Linked DNA regions of Macaca mulatta. The protein of the gene in region 2 interacts with the protein of the main gene of each other region in a pairwise test. Links are inferred from orthologs where the notes say so. Each region holds a gene or a part of one and is shown on either strand. Other genes may lie near its edges.

Region 1 (4,257 bases), about 3.3 Mb from region 2:
AGTTTCCTCATCTGTGAAATGAGGGCTGGTTCAGTCTGTGACTCCTAATGAGTCGGTATGTGACATAATCTACTGTGAAGTGAAGGAGACTGGTGGAGCCACGGTAGAAGAAATAGAAATGAGGAAATTAACTAACCAGGGTTTTCCCACTTTCATTCCCTGACGAGAACAAATAATCATTGCTGATACGGATTCAAATGCTGAGGACTTTCCCATACTATATCAAGGGCAGCAAACCTCCAGTTATTCAAGATCCAACAAAGGAATAGCTCAGCTAACACAGCACCTTTCTTAAAAGAGAGAAATGATAAGAAGCAAGCCCACACCTGCAATTTATTCTGAACAGCAATTGCTAAAGGATCAGAGAATCTGTTGTTTTCCATGATACCATAGATTTGACCTGATTCTCACACCTTCACACTGTTCTACCATACAACTGTCTTTTGGATAACTCTGATACCTAAACAAAATAAAAAATTTTAAAGGCCTAAGATACAGCCTAAATCATAAAAATAGTAGGCCAGGCACAGTGGTTCAAAATGTAATCCCAACACTTTGGGAGGTGAATGTGGGTGGATTGCTTGAGCTCAGGAGTTCGAGACCAGCTTGGGTAACATGCCAAAACTCCATCTCTACACAAATATAAAAATTAGCCAGGTGTGGTGGCCCACACCTAGAGTCCGACCTACCTGGGAGGCTGAGGTGGGAGGATCACTTGAGCTGGAGAGTTTGAGGCTGCAGTGGGCCAAGATCGCACCACTGCACTACAGCCTGGGTGATAGAAGGAGACCCTGCCTCAAAAATGAAAAACATTAGGTCGGTGCAAAAGTTATTGTGTTTTTTTATGGCCTAAATAAATAAATAAATGTGGTTTTTGCCATAAAAAACACAACTACTTTTGCACTTACCCAATAAAATAAAAAATAAATAAAAGTATTGTGGTATGGACAGTGTAACTATAACATTAACAATACAGCTTGAATTCTAATTCTTTTAAAACAGCCAGCTCTGTGGTCGAGCTTTGTTTTCTTATTCAAACTTTATCTTATTCATCTACCAGCAAAAGAGCTGTTTTTGGAGATGAAACAAATTACCAGAGATGACAGCAATTTGGCAAGTTTTGTAAATATATACTATTCTTCAGAAATTTGAAGTTACTGTACACACAGATTTAGTATACATAGAAAATTCCACTCCTATGCCAAATCTATGCCCCTGTATGCTTTCCACTTATTTATTCACTATTTTAAAATAATGGTACCCAAGTCGTTGTTTCCATTAAACCAGCAATCAAATAAAAGCCTTTTGGGCGATGAGGAGCATCTGTTCGGAAGGGGGAGGTGCCACGCTTGCTGTTTCTCTAAGCTCCCTGGGAAGGGAAAGACAACTCAGAAAACCTACAAACTGTAGCTCCTTCCGGTGCCCGCGTAACCCCCGAGTCCAGGAGCGGGCAGGGGCGCCGCTTGGTTGAGCCCAGTGGGCACCCGGTCTGGGTCTGGGCCAGCCCCGCCGCAGCAGCCCCTGGGAGGCGGCGCTGCACGGGCCTCCGCGCGCGCCCTGACCCCACTTGGGGGCGCCCCTGGGTGCCGGCGCGCGGGGAACGCGCTGCCGGGGTGCTGCGCCGGCTGCCACTGTTTCCCGGGACTTCCCTCTTGGAAGATCTCCAGGCGCAGGTCCAGGACGTGCTCCTGCTAGGAGTCTAGAAACTCCAGTCCAGCCCGGACCCTCCCGGGGCCTGCACTCCCTGCGGGTAGAAGCACGCGCCGCGTGTCCCCGCCGGATCCCAGAACTTCCCCGAAAGTCCTCAGCTCCGGCAGACCCTCTCCCTCGAAGTTCCCCCCGCCACCCCTTGCAAGCCCCCAGACCCCGGGGACAGCCGCTCACCTAGCCAGCGGCTCCAGTCACCGGACACCGGACACCGGACACCGGATACCCGCCGCAGCCGCTCTAGCCGCCTAACCCCGCACCTGAGCCCGCCCCGGGCGGCGCGAAGGGGTGGAGGCGGGGGTGAGGCTTCCGCCCGCCCCCTCTGGCCCCTGCGCCTCCCATGCACCCCTGCAACCCCCGAGGAAATTCCCTTCCCCCTACTCCCACCCCATGCACACTCTCGCCAAAGCCTCTCCCCAACCCCAGCACCTACCAGTGCTGGGCGCCCCTGGGCAGGGTGGCCCGATCACCCGCCACATCCACTTGGCCGCCAGAAGCCGTCGGGGAAGGGAGGGAGGGAAAGGCAGAAGCGTCCCAAGCGGCGCAGGCGGGCTGAGCAAATACTCTGACCGGGACGCCAAACAGCTCCTGCAGCCGGCCCGCCCGCGCCGCCCCGCCGCGCCCACATGCCGGGTGACTAGCGGGGCGCGATCGCGGCCCCACCCGGGCGCCTGGAGGCTCTCCAGGGACAGTCGTCGGCCAGGCTGCGTGGCCTGCGCATCTCGGGCCGCCTGGTCTGCGCGCTGTCCCCGAGCTGCGGTAGTCCGGGGTAGCCTTGCTCCTCTCCTCTCTTAGTTCGTGGGACTGGGATCTGCAGTCTATGATCTCTTGGGGACTGCAGGACTTAGATTAAATCAGCAGGTCTGGGCCTTTCCATGTTTCAGAGCTCGGGGTTCCATGCGAGGTGGAGGGTAGGAGGGTGCGCGGGCCCCACTTGTTCACTCGGCTTGGGTGCCGCAGGCCAAGGCGACTCTAGAGCTTTTTTTTTCTTTCTTTTGTTGACATTAAGTAAATGATCAAACTCTTTGGCACTTGTCGGTACAGGTGTGGCTTTGTAGGACAAGATGAAGGACGGAAAAGGCTGAGAAGGAGACCGCAGTCAACACAGACCAGGAGAAAATGAAAGAAAACTGGGGAAAAAGTTAAGATGCTGAAAGGAGTCTTGTGGATTGCAACAAGAACAGGTTGGGTTGGGGCCTGAAGACATCAGGGAGGAGCTGGCAGTCCACAGTTAGAGGAAATCTTGGAGGAAAATTCAGCAGAAGCAGAGTGGAAAGGCATTTCCACTGGAGGGCATTTTCCATCCTAGAGGAGTATGTGGAAGAAAACCGCCTGCTTTGGTGAACCCCAGATTTTATGTGTTGGGAGAGATGTAATAAATAGCAAACACCAGTAGTCCTCTCCACAGACTACCTGACCTCTTCAGGAGCCTGACCTGCTGGGTTCAAACATAAAACGTCATTCCCCGCCTTTACAAACGGCAGAAGCTATGCAGTCACATCAAGCCTCGGGGCAGGCGGCATTGTCAGGAAACAAGACCCAGCTATTTAGGAACCATTCCAGGGATCCCATCAGGGAGAAATTTCTGGTCTAAGGCTTAGTTCCTACTGCAGTTTAAATGATAGCCTATGGGGTGCTTTAGGCTGGAGTGGGATTGGCCCCTGGAAAGCTACTATGGCGAGGTCGAAATGAATCCTAGCCCTGCATGGATGGATCGGTTAACTATACAGGGTGGTTTATCTGGAAAAATCCCATAGGACACTGTGACAGCCACTTACCTTTCTCATACCCAGTCTCTCTCCAGGTCCTGACAAGTCCTTCCTTATAATAGCTCTGTCACTGTGCTACTAACCTCTGTACCTCAATTTCTTCTCTGGATAGAGTGTCTGCCTCCGTAAGTTGTTAAGAGGGTTAAATGAGATACCGCATGCAAAGGGATTAGAACAGCTCTTGGCATGTGGTGAGTGTTCAAACACATTTGCTCAGATCAGTTCATATCACATTAAGGTACTATAATTCCAGGTTCCTGCTATCTCACCCTAGGCTATGGTTCTGCCCACCATGCCACTTACATTCCAAGTCATTCCCAGGGATCCCGTCTTCCTGTTATTCATACCCTTGCATAGCTCCCCGCCACTTTGTAAAGGTTGGTTTGCTTGACCAATAGAACCCGGCAGAAGTGATGATGGTATGCCACTTAGGAGATTAGGTAAGGAAACATCTTGGAGCTTCTATCTTGAAAGAATGTTAACAGCCCAAAGGAACACACACTGTACACAAATAGCACAATCAGCTCAGAACCCAGACTCTTCCCTTTTCTCTCTGCCCCTTTCCATCCTTCTTGTCTCATGCCTCTTTCCTGTATTTGGCATGATCTCTTCTTCTCTTATTTCTATAGTTTCTTCTCCATCTTCTTTACTTGGTCTACCCTCGCCTCTACCACATTCTCTTTTTGTTCCCTTTCTCCTGACTCCTGGAATTTCCTTTTAATTGGCATGGTCTGGAAGAGAAAAGCTCGATGTTTTTCCCTTAATTTCAAAAGTAGACAAT
Region 2 (4,361 bases):
TGGTGCCCCCATCTGCCCCTTCTCAACCCTGCTCCCTGTGACATCCCCCCCGGAACCTCCAGGGAAGGGTGGTCCGAGTTCTTCTCTTGGCAGCCTGGTCAGGAGACTTACGGAGGACTTCCAAGGAAGAGGGTAGCATCTGGGGACTGGTCCCCCATGTAGCAGAGAGCGGAGGGGTCCTCCCAGAATTCAGGCCGCCCCTCCACGCAGGCAGCCAGCCCCGGGAGCGGGCGAGGTCCCGGGATCGGGAGAGGGGAGGCAGCCCTGCTGGGGCAGACACCGGCTTTCCTGCTCTGAACACTGCCCTGGTCTTGGGGGCTGGCCCTAAGCGCTTACCCAGGTATTTCTCAGCCACAAGGCCACGTGTACAAGGACAGGTTTCTTGAATTTCGCTTTTTCTGGTATGAGGGCTGATGGGGGGTACTTCCCACCTCTTCCCAGAGTTTGGGACGCGGACCCCAGGGAGGGACTCGGTGAGGTTCCCTGGGGTTGGGCATGGGTCCCTCCCGTGGCCTCGCCTACTCCCCGCCCCTCCTTCCCCGGACCTACCTTCCCGGGCGAGCAGGTGGCTGGGCCCGAGGCCGTCCGGGAGCGCAGGAGCATCCCTGCCCGGCTGCTGCCTGGCGCGGGCGCTCGGGGAAGAAGGGCAGGGAGAAGCGCGGGCCGTCGCGGCCCTCGTGACCGGGTCAGGACGGGCCGGGCCAGGCTGGGCGCCCGACAAGGAAGAGGGAGGCCGAGGGGGTGCGCGCTGGAGGCAGGACCGTGAGAGTCGCGCGGCGGGGCGGGCGGAGTTTGGGTCTCGGCTCTGGACTGCGGGCCGGGGCTGGGCCGGAGAGGAGGGGCGTGCGAGTGCCCTCCGTCCGTCGGGGAGCGCGCGGGGACACTGGTCCCCTGCAGAGGAGGCCGGGCCGGCGGGGAGGCGGCGCCGGGAGGGGCCGCCGAGGGTCCCCGGGGAGCTCTCTCTGGTTTCCCAGCTGCCATCCCGGCCCCTACCGCGGGGCTGGCGTCTGGGAGGGGTCGGGCGGCCCGACGCGGGCCACTCAGAGTTTCCAGCGACATTTCCAGAGTGTGGGAAGCGAGCGGCCTCGCGGCGGAGCCAGGACAGGGGGCAGGAGTGGTGAACCGGGCGGAGCCCGGACAAGGGGGCAGGAGTGGTGAACTGGGCAGGCCGGGGGAGGCGGACAGGCCGGGAGCGAGATGAGGGCGCCCCGCGGGCAGAGTGTCAGAGTTGACCAGGGGAAGGCCCCGCCGCCCGTCGGCGCTGGGGGAGAGGGTGTGCCTGCGGCGGCGCGCGGCCGGGCGTGTGCAAACAAACAGGCGCGCGTGCACTGCAAACGTGGGGACACTCACACACGTGCAAGCACAGGGAGGAAATCAGCCCAAGGGAGCGGCACCCCTGGGCGTGCCGCGCCCTTAGAGAGGATAAGGGTGGGGTCTCTTTTTCGGGGATGGGATTAGGAGGGTCTTGGTGTTCCCGGACATTGTGTTTGTTTTGATCTGCCTGCTTTTCCGCTGTTCTCGCTGCTCTGAGCTGAGTCCCTAGAGCCCCGGCCCTCTTGCTCCCCATCCACTCTGGCCATCCCCTCTCCCTGTCTCTGCCCCGAGCCTCTGTGTGGCACAGGGCCTGCTTCAGAAAGTGGGAATGCCTAAGGAGCATTGACCGGCCTGGAAACACTCTGGAATCCTTTCTAGCCCTTGGGTTGGCTCAGGGATCCCCAAGCCCCAAACCAACCAACCAGCAAATAGTTGCTGATCAACTTTAGATAGGAGCTGGGCGTGATCAATGCTAAATTATGAAAACAAATGTCATCTCCTGCATTCCTACTGGGTGTCAGACTGGTGCCAGAGGCCACCAAGAGCTTTGGAGTGTTTTCCAAACTCACCGCTCAACTCAAAGGTTGGAAGGAAAGAGAGTGGAGAAAAGACTAAGCGATTTTCAGTCCCTACCACCATTACTGCTTTAGTCTTATCTTCTCCCTCCTTCAGGTAAAGGAGTTCTCCCCAGTTGCCTTGAAAGGACATCACACGTGAAAGCTGGAGGAGATGTTTGGGTTGAGAAGCTTCAGATAGGCCTGCTGGCCTCTTGCGCCTGCGGGGCTGCCATGTAGACACAGACAGCCGCACCAGCAGCAGTGGGACCATTGGGGGACACATCATAGGGAAGCAAGTCCAAGGCTTCCCAGGAAACATTTGTACATGATTCCAGGGGTTCTGAGTCTGCCAATCCTGGGGCATCTATGTAAAGGCAACTGTCGCACTGAGCGGGAGCTGAACAAGATGACCTTCAAGACTCCTTCCAGGAACCTGCCTCTCCAGGAAGGTGGAGAGATGGGGATTGCGGGGCACTGCTGTGGAGGACAGCTGAGCAGGGGAGGAACCCTGGGACACTTCTTGAGGGAGGCAGCAGTGCACTGCCCCTCCCCTGAAGCTTAGATACCTGCTTACCCACCCCAGGTAGCCTCTTCCCTCCCTCAGGGATAAAATAGGTGCCCATTTTCTTAGACACGCATTTTTCCCACCTGTCAGGGTCCTTGGGACTAAGAAGGACCACATCACTTTCACTTTCTTCCTTCTTCTCCCAAGATGGTGAAGCTGAAGCTCTTCCGACTCCAGGAATCCTGGCCATACCCCCTCACCAGCAGCAAGCTTCTCTTATTCTCTAGGGCTCTGACCTGGACTCCAAGATAAATATTTAGTGTAGAGGGTGCAGCTGAGCTGACAAAATTCCCCACTTCCTGTTTCTCACAAAGGGAGGTGGCAGCCATGGGCAAGGAGCTGGGGACTGGCCACCAGTTTCATCTCTATGGGAATCGGGACTTGAGTAAACAGCTTTGTAGGAGGAGGCGGGGAAGGTCTACGGGAGACCTGAGCTTTCTTCCTGAGCCGCTTTGATTTCTGCCTGTCTGCTTAGGCCTGGGCTCTGCCAGGTTTATCACCTCTCTCAGGTCAGAATCCACCGTGTTCCGTGGTGCCCATCTGGCCTCACAGCCGAGAAGATGGGAGACAGAGGGCCACAGAGCAGGGAAAACATAAGGAAATTTGACTGATTCCTCCCTTTCTGCCCTTATCTAAAGAGAATAATTCGTTCTCTTTGAAAAGTAGATTAAGGGGGGAAAGGTAGCAAGGTTTGGAGATTGAGCCAGGAACCAGGTGTCAGATTTCCCGACGCCTCCCTCTAGCTCAGCTTCCCTTGCTACCTCCACAGCTGGCATGGTTAGGGAGAGGCTAAGGCTGGGAAGATGGTCCTAGATAAGGCGGCTGGCCAGCTGGCTGTCAACAACACAACAGATTCCTTTCCTTTCCAAATCCCACTGCACTCTCCCCTTTGCAAGCACGACTCCCCTGTCTAAGAGGGACCTCCCTCCCTGTGAGTCGCCGCTTCCCCACCTCTGGCACTGCCCTTTGTCGGGGGCTGCCTCTGCCTTCTCAGAGCCACCTGAGCCACAGTAAACAGAGTTATGTAACTGCCCTGTTTTCCCAGCTACCTGATCCCAGGCACCAGTATCCCCCGCTCAAGCCCTTGAGGCTGCACCTTTTGTTCTGTGGGTAGTCCCCAACATCACCATCAACAGGGGTCTGTCCACATCCCCTGCCCCCCATCCCCCGCCTGCAGGGGAGGATGAGCCAGGGGACTACCAGTAAATGTGGCTCTTCACAGGGAGGGGGAGAAGGTGGTGGAATGCGGGTCACTCTGAAAAGCAACCTCTGTCACCAAGGATGACAGATGAGGGGAAAGAGCACTGAAGTGAAGGCGGGGTGAGCGGGGTGGGCAGAGCACCCAGTTTTAGTTCTCAAGTGGGAAGAGGGAAGCCAGGGGTCCCAGAAGACATGAACCCGGACTCAGTTCTTGAGGAGCACCTTGCTCTGGTGCTTGGAATCGGCAATTCAGATGAGTCACCCTCTGAGATCTACCCTGGACAGTTAGGCGGCCCTAGCTCTGTGCCTCGGTACTCCCATGGAGATACAGGGCATCTGCTCTTCCTTTCTTCTCCTCCCCAGGGATGAACTTCAGGTGCTTTGAGTAGATTTTTTGGGGGGTTTTGCTCTCAGAATTCTGAGTGTTTTCTTCCTTCCTCTAAGCTGAGCAGTTAGACCAGAAGGGGTTAGCACAGAAAGCACTGCCCGTTTCCAGCAGTTTGGACTTCTCTAGAAGGCCACAGTGACACAATGGTGAGGAATTGAAACCAAGTCACATGGACACACCAGCAAGAATCTGGACTATGTTTCATCCCCTGGGCTCCATTCCTTTCTCCTGGGTCCTCTCTTGATTCCTGCTCCTGCAAATGTTGCCAGCCAAGTTCTACTGATGGCCCTTTCCATGCCAACCACTCATGGGAACAGGAGCAGGCAGAAGAAGAGAG
Region 3 (3,561 bases), about 100 Mb from region 2:
CATCTTCATGTGGGCTGGTACCAGTCCACATACTATGGCTCATTCGTTACCCGGGCGCTCCTGGACTCTCAGTTCAGTTACCAGCATGCCATTGAAGAATCTGTCGTTCTCATTTATGGTTAGTAGGAGGTTTATTATTCTTTTTTTCCCTTAATATTATTACTACTATTTTTGCTTTCTGTCTTTTTTGCCTCTATGAGCAGTCTGGCAGGCCTTCTCAAGTAAATACCAACCCTGTTTCTGCAGCAGCCTCAGCAGCAGCTCAGTCTAGACAGGGTTTCCTTCTTTCTGTTTATTTTTCTTGCTATCAGAGCCCTGATGTGTACATTTTGGAATGCTGGAGTAGCTGCTTCATTTTTATTCCTCCATCTCCCCTCCCTCATTGAAGGGGCTGGTGGAACTAGACCAGATGTCTTAACAAACCCCGATTGCTAGAGTGTCTGGCTCTGTACGTGACTGACCAATCATAATACAGTGTGCCAAGTTTTTTTTATACCTCTGACAACAGTGTACAAAACCTGGACTGTTTCTTAGCACAAAGATTTTTTTCTTTTCGGCCTATTTAATGGTGTTTCCTCAAGCTCTCCAGACCAGATGTTCTGTGCTGTATCAGAACTGTAGGCAATTTAACAGCTTTATAGCCTTCCCCCTCCCCAAACACTCACAGTTTGCCATATCTGGCAGACTTGCATATAGTTTCCAGCTGAGAAGTAAATGTAACGTCCTGAGTATCTGTCAGAAAAAATACTAATGAATACGATCAATCTTATGAGCTGCCCCAAAATTGTTTCAGTATGTTAACAATTGGATTACAGTAAAGAACAAGTTGTTAAAGTGTACTTATATTGGCTGGAAACATTGCATCATCAGACCTTGATGAATTTTCCACTTGTTTCAATCTATTTTGGTTTTCATTTTATCACCTATTGCAAAAAGTTTCACTGTGTTAAGTTTCAGACAACATGAATGTTAACACAGGTTTTAGGCGAATATTGGCATGCCAGAGCTGTTATCATGCAGCAAGTGCTAAGCTCCCTTACGCATGGAGTGTTTCAGCGGTTAGTTTTGACAAAATTAGTTTCTCCAAAAAGACACTTCTGTGATAGCAGTTTGACTTGAATGGTTTTTACAATCTGTTTTAACGAAGAAATGTGAACAGTGATTATTAGGATGGATACATTTTGTGTGCAGGGCTATTCATTTTAAGTTGAATGAAGAGCTACCCAAGTATATGCAGTGGATTTTCATGTTTAATATTTATCAGTGATTTCCTAATTATACAAGATGTCTAGAACATATGATACATTTAATTTTCAGCAAGATTACTGATTCTTGCTGAGGAATGAATTTGAAAATAACTCTTGTATGTTTAGTTTTTGACAGAGGAAATTATCATAAGTAGCATAGATAGAGGTATTCCTGCATTTTCGAGTGCTACTTGCTATATAGTGGTTTGAGTCGGCTTCAAATTGTGTTCTGGTTGTTTATTTTGATCTTTATTTTGCAAAGATTGTGTGATATGCAACAGAATGTGCCTAGAACCAATGCTCTTCAAGCATGGTAGTGACAAAATTCTTAGTAATTTGTTTCTCTTTCCTTGTTTGAGATCCCATAAAAACTGCCCAAGGGTCTCTCTCACTAAAGGCTTACAGACTGACTCCTAAACTGATGGAAGTTTGTAAAGAAAAGGATTTTTCCCCTGAAGCGTAAGTGTTTGGGGGCATCTGGTAAAGGGTTGGGTATTTTTCTGTTAAGATTTTTCTTTGCCACGTCTCTTGCATCCTCGGTTGTGGTGCAGTAATGCTTTTGCCATGTGGACTGTAGAAGTTTTCTGCATGCCAAGTGCTGCTTGCTCTATCCCTTTCCGTGTTTAAATTATTCTTTAGGGAATGTCTCATCTGTTGTTCTCAGCAAGGGTGAATTCAGTTAGAATGGGAATTAATTAGCTACTGGATTCGAAGAAATAAATGATTGAATAAAGGGAGGTGGAAAGAGTGATCAGTGGCTGTCCGATTGTAAGCTCTGTGTCAGACTGGTTGTGAGCTGTGTGTCTTATTTTCCGAACCCTTGTTTAATGAGGGGGTGGGAAAGATATAAATATTTTAAGAATTTGTTAAAGAATGTGGCTTATTGGCAATTTTATGGGTGACAGGTATGCAGAGAATTAATGGATGGAGCTGTTTTGGGATCCTATTCAATGGCATTGTAATATTTACTTTAAATCAATTAAATACTTAGAATTCTTCCATTTTCTGTTAATTATAGAAATTTTTAGTTCCTGTTGAATCAAAATTAATGGCTTTGACTTCATGCAGGACAGTTCATCTCTAGTTTCCCATTTGGCTCCTAAAAAGTTAAGGTACAGAGAATTTTAAAAGAAAAATCCTCATGGACAATTCCTGGATGTGGTAGCTATAACTAAACTATGAGAAACTGTGTTCTTGGCGTGTTCTAACTATTGTATCTGGAGTCTCCTTGAGTGTTCTGCTACTTGTTAAACTCTTAATTGAAGAGGCTTTTAAAATGAACTTTTCAAGAAATAGAGTATTTCTCATTTCTAGCTATTTTAAATTAAGTTGTAGATGTAGGTTGTGTAGCATAACTTACTGTGACATTTACATTTTAGTATCAGTGAAATTTTAAAGATACCTGATTACAAAGAATGAGTAGTTTCTTCTGCCAAGAATCTTATTTTCTGGGCTTTAGCTCAAATTCAGATCATTTTCAAAGTTACTCAAATGACCTAACTTATGTTTGACTCTGTAAAACTCTAGTTTCTCTACTTTTTTTTTTAAAGAGTGTTAATGAAACAAAGATCTTGGATAGGGCCTATAATTAGGTAAATTTTATGAAATAGTCAATTTAGCACCTACTTTTGACCATCAGACTAAAGTATTTTTAACATGCTTCACAGTTTGAAAAAAGCAAATATCACCTTTGAGTACATGTTTGAAGAAGTGCCGATTGTAATTAAAAATTCACATCTGATCAATGTCCTAATGTGGGAACTTGAAAAGAAGTCAGCTGTTGCAGATAAACATGAGTTGCTCAGCCTTGCCAGCAGGTAAGTGGCCCTGCCTAATCAAAAGTCCCATTTTTTAGAACTTTCTGCAAAAGATTCTTTCACATAAACTTTACCTGTGAAACAAGAAAACAATTACTTAAGAACATTTATAGGTTCTTAAAACCTGTATAACATGGAGTAATAGTGTGGCCTTGTTAGGATCTCAGGGAAAAACGCCAAACTGATCATATGAAACGACACATTGTTTGAATACCAATTGCTCATATTAGAAGAACCCTCTGCTGCCTTCTTTGCTGTATCATTTGTGCTTTGATAAGGTCAGTGCCCATGAGGGAGGGCTTTTTTATATGGCTCAGCTTTATTTCTTGTACACGATCCTAAGAGGCTTAGGGTATTATGTCTGGATGTTTAATAATGCTCAGGAAAAGAACAGAAATGCGTTTTTCTTTTACTGGCTGTACTTGCCCTTGTTCAGATGCAGACTCTTGCAGTTGTAAAGTTCCAGTTGTTTGAGTTTTCAACTAAAATTTGAATTT
Region 4 (3,561 bases), on a different chromosome or scaffold from region 2:
CTCAGTTATTATAGTTCTGTCTTCCTTACCCTTACCACTTCTACTCTATTCTTCACAGAGACTGCAGAAGGGAGGCTGACACACACACCTTCCTCCCTCTGGCTGCAATATGACAGTTCTAAAGTTAGGTGCTAAGACACAAGAAATGTGAAAGAATGATGTCTGCAAATATTTTATGCCAGACTCTGCCTGTGAAGGTAGCTTGCAGGCCTCACTGACATTTGTTACCTCCCCACAACCCCCTTACTCATTCCTGTCCCAACCCTAAGAACCCCATTGTACTTAGGCAGTGGGAGATCTGGGATGTGATCTATCCTGACGAGCTGTCGTATCCGGAATCTGCAAAGGTGCTGGAGGGATTTGACATTGCTGAATCGGGACACTGGATAGAGCAGCTGGACAGGAGTTGGTGGCAGTCCTTCAAGAAAGAAAACAAAGAAAAATATTCAGAGAAACAATGGAGCTAACTACCATTTCTTGTATGAAGAGAACCTAGGGAGGGGAAATGGGACTTCTTTATGGTTCATATATGTATTCTGTGCAAAAGCCCCTCCACAAAGGGCTGTTGATTTCCATTTCCAGAAGAACCACCACCACCTTCACACTTAAGGAAGTCTATTCTCTGCCAAAGGCCTCCCTAGCATCACTTTTGTGTGTGTGAGTGGTTTTTTTTTTTTTTTGAGACAGAGTTTCGCTTTTTTTTTTTTTTTTTTGTGAGACAGAGTCTCACTCTGTCACCCAGGCTGGAGTGCAGTGGCCGGATCTTAGCTCACTGCAAGCTCCGTCTCCCGGGTTTACGCCATTCTCCTGCCTCAGCCTCCCGAGTAGCTGGGACTACAGGCGCCCGCCACCTCGCCCAGCTAGTTTTTTTGGTATTATTTTTAGTAGAGACGGGGTTTCACCGTGTTAGCCAGGATGGTCTCGATCTCCTGACCTCGTGATCTGCCCGTCTCGGCCTCCCAAAGTGCTGGGATTAAGTGCTGGGATTACAGGCTTGAGCCACCCCGCCCGGCCTGAGAGTTTTGCTCTTTTTGCCCAGGCTGGAGTGCAATGGCGCGATCTCGGCTCACCGCAACCTCCGCCTCCCGGGTTCAAGCGATTCTCCTGCCTCAGCCTCCCGAGTAGCTGGGATTACAGGCATGTGCCACCACCCCGGCTAATTTTGTATTTTTAGTAGAGATGGGGTTTCTCCATGTTGGTCAGGCTGGTCTTGAACTCCCGACCTCAGGTGATCCACCTGCCTTGGCCTCCCAAAGTGCTGGGATTACAAGCGTGAGCCACTGCGCCCGGCCTGGTTTTTTTTTTTTTTTTTTTTTTTTTTGGAGACAGGGTCTCGTTCTGTCACCCAGGCTGGAGTGCAGTGGCCCAATCTCAGCTCACTGCAGCCTTGACCTCCCAGACTCAAGAAATCCTCCTGCCTCAGCCTCCTGAGTAGCTGGGACCACAGGTGCATGCCACTGTACCCAGCTAATTTTTGTATTTTTAGTAGAGACGGGGGTTCCCTGTGTTGCCCAGGCTAGTCTCAAACTCCTGGGCTCAAGCAATCCACCTGCCTCGGCCTCCCAAAGTGCTAGAATTATAGGCGTGAGCCACTGTGCCTGGCTCCTAGCATCACTCATAACAGCTGAGAGTCCTGCTCCTTGGAGTAGTCCAATGATGCCAAACTAGAGACACTGCTTGACCCAAGTGGCCAGTCCCAGGCCTGAGGCTCTTGGGAAGGCCAAGAATCAAAAGGATCCCTGCTGGGAATGGGAGATACTTGTTGGACACATCTACTAGTATCCTGAGAGTGAGGACTCAGAAAAGCCGTTCAGAGGAGTCCCCACCAAATTCCAACTGGTTCAGCAGAGAGGCTGGTAAGTAGAAGGTAACAGCTGGGATCAAAGTTGACAAATCTATTATTCCCGCTATTACTTCAAGCCAGGACAATCAGGTTTAGCCCCTCTTATACTCACCATCCACAACCCCCACTTCCTGCTTCTGAAATTTTAGGCCAGGAAACCAAAAAAAGATGATGCTTTTAAAAGAACAACCACCACAATAACTTGGGCAAGCTGGGTTTAGTACTACTCAGTGCAAACCTGCCTGCTGATTGATGCCAAATAGACTCAATGGGAGTACCACCTCCTTATGTATTAGCAGGCTATGTGCTGGGGAATCCCACCCCAAAAAGGGCCCCACGCCACAGCACAGAGACATCCAGAATGGCAGGAACACTGGGGTTCAAGGGAACTAAGAATATTTTGTTTTCTTTTTTTTTTTTTTTTTTTGAGACGGAGTCTCACTCTGTAGCCCAGGCTGGAGTGCAGTGGCACGATCTCAGCTCACTGCAAGCTCCGCCTCCCGGGTTCACGCCATTCTCCGGCCTCAGCCTCCCAAGTAGCTGGGACTACAGGCGCCCGACACCTCGCCCGGCTAGTTTTTTGTATTTCTTAGTAGAGACGGGGTTTCACCGTGTTAGCCAGGATGGTCTCGATCTCCTGACCTCGTGATCCACCCGTCTCGGCCTCCCAAAGTGCTGGGATTACAGGCTTGAGCCACCGCGCCCGGCCAGAATATTTTGTTTTCAATAAACAAAGGGGCTATGGAAGGTAAACAAGATTCTCTGAGAAAGAATCTGAGTTGTAAAACCTGTCAAAGAATTCTCAGCCATTGTCATATCAAAAGACATTCTGTAGACAATTCTGTAGACACAACTGATTGGAAAATAAAATATCTACTATTATTGGGGTTTAAGTTCAAACAGGTTTTTTGTTTATTTGTTTGTTTAAGACGGCATCTTGCCCTTGTCGCCCAGGCTGGAGTGCAGTGGCGTGATTTCGGCTCACTGCAAGCTCCAACTCCTAGGTTCAAGCGATTCTCCTGCCTTAGCCTCCCGAGTAGCTGGGATTACAGGTGCCCACCAACATGCCCAGCTAATATTTGTATTTTTAGTAGAGACGGGGTTTCACCATGTTGGCTAGGTTGGTCTCGAACTCCTGACCTCGGGTGATCCACCTGCCTCAGCCTCCCAAAGTGCTGGGATTACAGGTGTGAGCCACCATGCCCGGCCCAGATAGTTTTAAAATTTTGTTTGAAGGCATGAAAACAAAACAAATGAAAGCTTGCACACTGCATCCCAAAGCTTTTTCATGATCCCTGACAACAGACTTTCTGGGGGGAAAAAAAAAAAAAGAAATCAAAATATATTATTTTATTGTTACTGAGCAAGTAAGCTCATCTTAAAAACATACTCAGGCTAGGTGCAGTGGCACATGCCTGTAATCCTAGTACTTTGGGAGACCAAGGAGGAAAGATCACTTGAGGCCAGGAACTCGAGGCTACAGTGAGCCAAGATTGCACTGCTGCACTCCAGCCTGGGTAACAGAGCATGACCCTGTCTCTAAAAAAAATAATAGTAATAATGATAACTTATTTAGTCTTTAAAACTATACTTTGAGGCAAACACCACCATCCCCATTTCACATATAAAGAAACTGAGGCCCACTGAGCTTAGAGAACTTGCTGTGGCATGGAGCCAATAAAGTCGGCCTGCCTTGAACACCTGCCCTAAGGAAGAAT

Evidence for each region.
Region 1: the proteins of SORBS3 (region 2) and SH2D4A interact in binary tests that used the Homo sapiens proteins (3 or more experiments, as listed by UniProt). The two-hybrid records come from large-scale screens. The link is inferred for Macaca mulatta from reciprocal best matches to the Homo sapiens genes SORBS3 and SH2D4A.
Region 3: the proteins of SORBS3 (region 2) and EIF3H interact in binary tests that used the Homo sapiens proteins (3 or more experiments, as listed by UniProt). The two-hybrid records come from large-scale screens. The link is inferred for Macaca mulatta from reciprocal best matches to the Homo sapiens genes SORBS3 and EIF3H.
Region 4: the proteins of SORBS3 (region 2) and SOCS7 interact in binary tests that used the Homo sapiens proteins (3 or more experiments, as listed by UniProt). The link is inferred for Macaca mulatta from reciprocal best matches to the Homo sapiens genes SORBS3 and SOCS7.

Annotation. Positions count from the first base shown.
Region 1 is NC_133413.1:20,954,147-20,958,403, reverse strand, and holds the start of SH2D4A (SH2 domain-containing protein 4A), read right to left. Parts: upstream 2,829-4,257; 5' UTR 2,187-2,828; coding exon of another isoform or gene 2,141-2,186; intron 2,066-2,140; exon of another isoform or gene 1,885-2,065; intron 792-1,884; exon of another isoform or gene 690-791; intron 1-689. UniProt on the Homo sapiens protein: Inhibits estrogen-induced cell proliferation by competing with PLCG for binding to ESR1, blocking the effect of estrogen on PLCG and repressing estrogen-induced proliferation. May play a role in T-cell development and function.
Region 2 is NC_133413.1:24,214,664-24,219,024, reverse strand, and holds the start of SORBS3 (vinexin), read right to left. Parts: upstream 2,806-4,361; 5' UTR 2,627-2,805; coding exon 2,520-2,626; exon of another isoform or gene 1,987-2,519; intron 646-1,986; exon of another isoform or gene 604-645; coding exon of another isoform or gene 550-603; intron 341-549; exon of another isoform or gene 128-340; intron 1-127. UniProt on the Homo sapiens protein: Vinexin alpha isoform promotes up-regulation of actin stress fiber formation. Vinexin beta isoform plays a role in cell spreading and enhances the activation of JNK/SAPK in response to EGF stimulation by using its third SH3 domain.
Region 3 is NC_133413.1:127,045,629-127,049,189, reverse strand, and holds part of EIF3H (eukaryotic translation initiation factor 3 subunit H), read left to right. Parts: coding exon 1-118; intron 119-1,606; coding exon 1,607-1,706; intron 1,707-2,914; coding exon 2,915-3,064; intron 3,065-3,561.
Region 4 is NC_133421.1:62,662,102-62,665,662, reverse strand, and holds part of SOCS7 (suppressor of cytokine signaling 7), read right to left. Parts: intron 419-3,561; coding exon 283-418; intron 1-282. UniProt on the Homo sapiens protein: Substrate-recognition component of a cullin-5-RING E3 ubiquitin-protein ligase complex (ECS complex, also named CRL5 complex), which mediates the ubiquitination and subsequent proteasomal degradation of target proteins, such as DAB1 and IRS1.